Rattus norvegicus: one gene and its partner. The protein of the gene in region 1 purifies or fractionates together with the protein of each later gene. This does not show direct contact. Links are inferred from orthologs where the notes say so. Each region holds a gene or a part of one and is shown on either strand. Other genes may lie near its edges. The genes, in order: Tada1 and Atxn7l3.

Evidence for each region.
Region 2: the proteins of Tada1 (region 1) and Atxn7l3 purify together in Homo sapiens (affinity purification with mass spectrometry; 6 studies listed by BioGRID and IntAct, counting the BioPlex papers as one, with this or other methods). This does not show direct contact. The link is inferred for Rattus norvegicus from reciprocal best matches to the Homo sapiens genes TADA1 and ATXN7L3.

Annotation. Positions count from the first base shown.
Region 1 is NC_086031.1:81,175,811-81,178,360, forward strand, and holds part of Tada1 (transcriptional adapter 1), read left to right. Parts: intron 1-1,009; coding exon 1,010-1,161; intron 1,162-2,550. UniProt on the Homo sapiens protein: Probably involved in transcriptional regulation.
Region 2 is NC_086028.1:87,744,584-87,747,282, forward strand, and holds part of Atxn7l3 (ataxin-7-like protein 3), read right to left. Parts: intron 2,474-2,699; coding exon 2,407-2,473; intron 2,289-2,406; coding exon 2,203-2,288; intron 1,894-2,202; coding exon 1,825-1,893; intron 1,595-1,824; coding exon 1,551-1,594; intron 1,328-1,550; coding exon 1,256-1,327; intron 1,179-1,255; coding exon 1,021-1,178; intron 936-1,020; coding exon 787-935; 3' UTR 1-786. UniProt on the Homo sapiens protein: Component of the transcription regulatory histone acetylation (HAT) complex SAGA, a multiprotein complex that activates transcription by remodeling chromatin and mediating histone acetylation and deubiquitination.

The DNA of each region.
Region 1 (2,550 bases):
GTTTTCCAGACAGGTTCCTTCAAGTACTCATTCGCCTGCTAATCTCTTGTTTTAACTTGTCAATATAGGGAGAGTTTTTAAGAAGAAGAAAACAGAGATCAGAGACTGGGGTGGCTTAGGTCACTTGTGTAAGGTAGTGAGTGCTGCATTTAAAGAGCCTCCGTGTGGCATTTAAACAGTGGGGCTGTTGAACCCATGCCTCAGTCACCTGTCCACTTTGACAGAAGTGCATTGCACCAGTGCCAGACAGTACACAGCTGAGGGTAGATTATCCTCCTAGACATTTCTAAGATGATTGATGCCTTAAACGACTTCTGTGTGAAAACCCATATTAAACTGCGCGCGGGTGTACTGATAGAAGATAGTTACACCGGTATAAGTACAGGGCCTAGCCTGATCCTGGCTCTCCTGTGCTAACATGCATTGGGAGTGTTTTAGTTTCACATTCCCCAGCCAGCTCTGAGGTACTTGGCTCTTCTATAGGTGAGGAGAAATTGAATAGACATGTGTGGTGTTCTGCATCTGTTTGAAGAGCTTTTGAGAACAAAAAGCCTCTGCAGTGAACTTGGTAACCAGCGAATACTAGGTCTTATGTCAAATTTTAAAGTCATTTGTCTTTAAAAAAAAAAACAAAAAAAACCCAAAAAAACCAAACTACTTCCTTTCCCAAAACCCATTTCTGAGAAGCTTCAGCTAAGGAAAACAAAACAGAATGCCAGTGGAGTGGTGGACATCTGCTCTGTGTGATGTCCAGTCTCAGCCCTGCAAACTGAAATAAAATCCACTTCAGAGCAAAGCTTTCCCTGCAGAAAGCCTCCTCCTCCTAGAGAGCGGAGTGAAGACTCTGGCTCATGCGTCACCCGTACCCTGCCCCTGTCGGCGTGTACTCTGTTGAAGGGCAGCACTCTGTCGTTCTGCATCTCCACCTAAATGGGATGAGCGTGTGACAGGGGAACTTCTACACTTTGCCTTTGAGGGGCTCTTGCTATTTTTCTTTGTTTTTTTACAGAATCACCTCAAAGATATTCTGACTTCAGTTGTGTCGAGAAGGAAAGCTTACAGGGTTCGGGATGGTCATTTTAAATATGCCTTTGGTAGTAACGTGACCCCACAGCCATACCTGAAGAACAGTGTGGTGGCTTACAACAACTTGGTTGAAGGGTGAGTGCGTGGCTTCCTGTGCTCTGCTGCTTGGTCACTGACTTTATGCGATAGGCCACTGTTTAAAGGATCAGTTACTGTGTCTCTGCAAGTTTGACTTCAACACAGTTATTTCTTAAGCTGCATGCTCTATGGTTTTTTTTGTTTGTTTGTTTGTTTGCTTTTTGTTTTATTCTTTTTAAATCAGTGATCGTTTGATCTGATTGCTTTCTCACTTTCTGAAGTGGGATTGGGTAGTTCCTCAGATCCTCAGGTTGTTTCCTGATGGTAGCCTCTGCCTGTTGAGGATGTGGTTGGTCTCTTCTCAGCCAGAAGTGTGGTCTAAGGCTGGGTCTTTACAGTGGGAAGAGGAGGAAGAATGGTAGATGTTTGTTCATGGCCTCATATGACCCTTTTAGCCGGAGCTCAAGGCGGTGGCCTGTGTCCATGTCGTCTGATTGTTCTCAACATCCTGTTGTACAGATATGATCTAGATCCTCAACCCACTCTGGCTCCCAGGGCCATCTTCAGTTCCAAGCCACTCTTCTGTGAGTTGGCTTGGGTTACCTTTACCCATTCTGCTTTCTCACAAAATGTAGTGTTACTTTTAACCTGTAGGAAAGAAATAGCAGTACAGTTTTCTTGTGGTCACCGTAGTGACTGTTCTTACTCTAAAGGCTGGAGTTTGTCTGGTTGTCTGTCTAGTGGAGGACAGGAGGAAGGATGTGACCATACAAGGTCAGAGCAAATATTTAAGACTGGAAGGACAGGTAGGAGCTGCAATAGGGAGCTTACAGAGAGAAGGCAGGGTGAGCGCTGACAGTGGCTTTTCCAAGGCCCTGGAGACACTGATGAGTATCATCTCTTTAGGTTTCCACCGGTGGTAAGTTATTTCCCAAACATCATTCAGACATACTTGTTTGGCATTGCTTCATGTTTAAGTCACTCTCTAGGGAAAGACGAAAAAGACAAACCCCAGTGTTTGGGTAATCAGAGATGTTGGATTGTCTGTGCCATGGCTTTGTCCTGGAGCCCTCCATCCTCGCTCCCCGTCCCCAAAGCTGTTTCCCTAGCAGAGCTTCTCTCGTCTGGCGCTTTACATCCAGTTGCTGCCCGTCTTCGCTCCACATTCCAGGCAGCTGTGTACTTGCTGTGCTAATGTAGAGGCCGTGCCTGACTTCCCAGCTTGTCAGTTATTTTGCTTGCTTTGGGAAGTTAGCAAGATCTGGGTAACTTTTATTTTACTCCCATTTTGTCTGCTACTTTTCTTGACGTGTATTTTCTAAGTCTGCGGTCATTAATATTTGCCTTCTCCATTTGTTTTCAATTTTATATTTCTAAAGTTACACTGTTTTTGTTGTTGTTGTTTTCTTTCCAAAATGGAAAGGTTTAAGGGGCAGGAAACACTTT
Region 2 (2,699 bases), on another chromosome or scaffold:
CCCTCTCACCTGGGCCGTTCCTCACAGCCCTGGGGCAGGGAGGGCAGGGGGCCACTCTGATACAGGCTCCCTCTTCCTACCCTCCCCTTCCCATTCCTTGAAGCTGTAGAGGCTGGAGGCCCTTTCCCGGCACCCAACAACAAAAGGACAGCTCCTGCTGCCAAGGAGGCCCATGGGGACTGAGGGGAAAGGGCTGCCCCCTGTGAGGCAGTTCTGGACGCCCACCTTAGCAGACAGCACTGTGCCTGCTGACCCCGGGGAATGGGGACATCTGATAGGACTCTGCACACAAACAGGACATAGCAGCCCTGCCCCTCAGCTCCAAGCACCAGACCCTTTCACATTGCTGAGGGCAGCCAGGGGAGGCCCCCTCTGGGCTCAGCTTCCAACCCAAAGCCGCCTGGGTAGCCACAATGCCCCTCGGCAGGGCTTAGTCCAGTTCCTGGGGTGGGGAGCAGGCAGTGCCCTGGCACAGTGCCCAGGTCAGGCCCCCAGCCTAGCTGGACATCCAGTAACTCACAGAATAAATAGGAAAACCGCCTCCCCACCAAACTTATGTCCAAGGCATAATATGTCCAGGTCTGAGTCCTGCACGCCGAGGGGTCATGCTTCATTGCAGAGGATCCTGACACCCCCCAGGGGCACATATTGGATCCTCTGCCTGCCTGGCCCACCAAGCTTCCCATGCCCAAACCCCCAGCAGCTGTCCATGTGCCAGGCTATGCTGCCTGGGTGGGGGTCGGGAGAGAGGGCTCTCTCAGCCAAAGGCTATTCCTTGCACCCAAGTCAGTTGATGTCCTCATAGATGCTGGGCGCTGGGGGAGCCGGTGGCTTTGGCTTTTTCTTCTTGTTGGAGCCCAGGCCAGAGGCAGTCCCTACCAAGCTCAGATGGGATTTCTTTTTCTTGGTTTTCCGTGATTCAGAGCTGTTGGTACCTACAGAAGAAGAGTCACACGGGATGAAAGTGCAATTGTGGAAGGGTGCCCACTGCCAAAGCCCAAGATCAAGTGCATGGTATACCTAAACCCCATCCCTGATTTTCACTAGTCTTGGAGGAGCCTGAATCAGACGGTGAGAGATCAGAAGAACCGTCCCACTGAAGCCGGCTGAGGAGGGCCTGGCTGTCAGTCATGTCAAAGCCATCATTGTCCAAGGAGCTCTCTACCTCTGGAAGAACGCTAGAAGGAGGAATCAGAGACATGTTAGGGAAAAGAGCAGCAACCTGACCCACCGCCCTCCTGGAAAGGACACTTACGCCGAGGGCCCAAGGAAATAAATCCGCACGGTTCGCCTCTGCTCATCCGTGTGCTGCGGGCAGCGTAGTGACCTGGTGGGGACAGAATGATCAGACCCTGACAAGGCAGGGAAGGACTTCAGGAACTCAGGTGAAGCAGAAGCTGGAGGGACAGGGAAAGAGTCAGTGGTGAATCCCCAGATGGTGGCTAATGAGGCCTACTGGATGAAGGGAGGGTAAGGGTGGGCCCACTGTCAGATCCAGGGGTACGCCCAACCCATGCCCAGTCAGCCCCCTTTTAAGTTTCCAAGCTCACCTTGTGCACATCTTCTTGGTATGTTCAGAAATTACTCCACATTGCTGGAAAAAAGAACACAGCTGAAAGGAGGGGCAGGAGACCTGCTCGAAACACTAGATGCTCCCTCTATACCAGCGCTAGACTGACCAAGTAGAAACCAACCCCAGAGCTAGTGGACTAGGAAGCCCACTTTCACAGAACACTATGGCTCCTGCTGCTGTGCCACCTGTCTCCTTCAGGGTCCTACTCCCTGTCCAGCCCACACCAAAGCCCTCCCTCTCCAGTTACACACTGTGGTGAGCAGGCTCCGCAGCTCTTCTGGCCCCAGGGTCTCATAGCTGATCCCAGTTGAGTTGCTATACTGTGAGAAAACCAGAGGTACAGGTTAGAAGTAAAAAACGGGTCAGAGAAGTAAAGAGTGGGCAGCCAGAAAAGGAGCAGATGGAAAAGCAGTCCCTCTCACCCTTGCCTCCAAGTAATTTTCCAAGTCCTTCCAATCTACCTGCACATAGACACGGAGACGGGACCCACAAAGAACATGAACACCCAAGGCTTAAATAGCGCTACAAGCACTTGTAGTTGTCACAGCATCCTGGCCTCATTTTTCCAAATCCCAACCACCTCACAAGAGTAAGGAGAAGCACACGAAGGGCAGGCAGCATCCACTCACCTTAAAAGGATCGGAGTTGCTAAGTTCCCCTGAAGAAGAAAAAAGAAGGGGAAGGGTGTTTGATGCAGAGGTACAGACAGAGAACCCTGAAAATAACCAGAGAGGAAGTGGGGGTGACAGAAGGATCACAGGCCCTCCCTCATCCCCACTCCAAGCCCTGTAGTAACATAGCTAGCAGCACCCTGTGGGTCTAGCCCCACTTACCATTTTTGTGTTTTAGAGACTTGGATCTTCGAGGGGAATTAGGGTTCTGGAATGGGAGATACCATAGCTTTGGGGAAAGGGCAATGATAAGGGGGAGCCGAGAACCCAGGGAAGGAAAAAAGATTTGACAAAGAAACAACCTCAAACGAATACTATCCCTCCCAGTAAGACTGTCTGTCTAGATTCCCTCCCTCCCTCCCACCAACAAAACCTCTGGAGCTCCCGTCCACCAGACACCCTTACTCCCAAACCCAGGGATGCCCCCCAGTGACCTCACACTTGAGTCAAAAGAC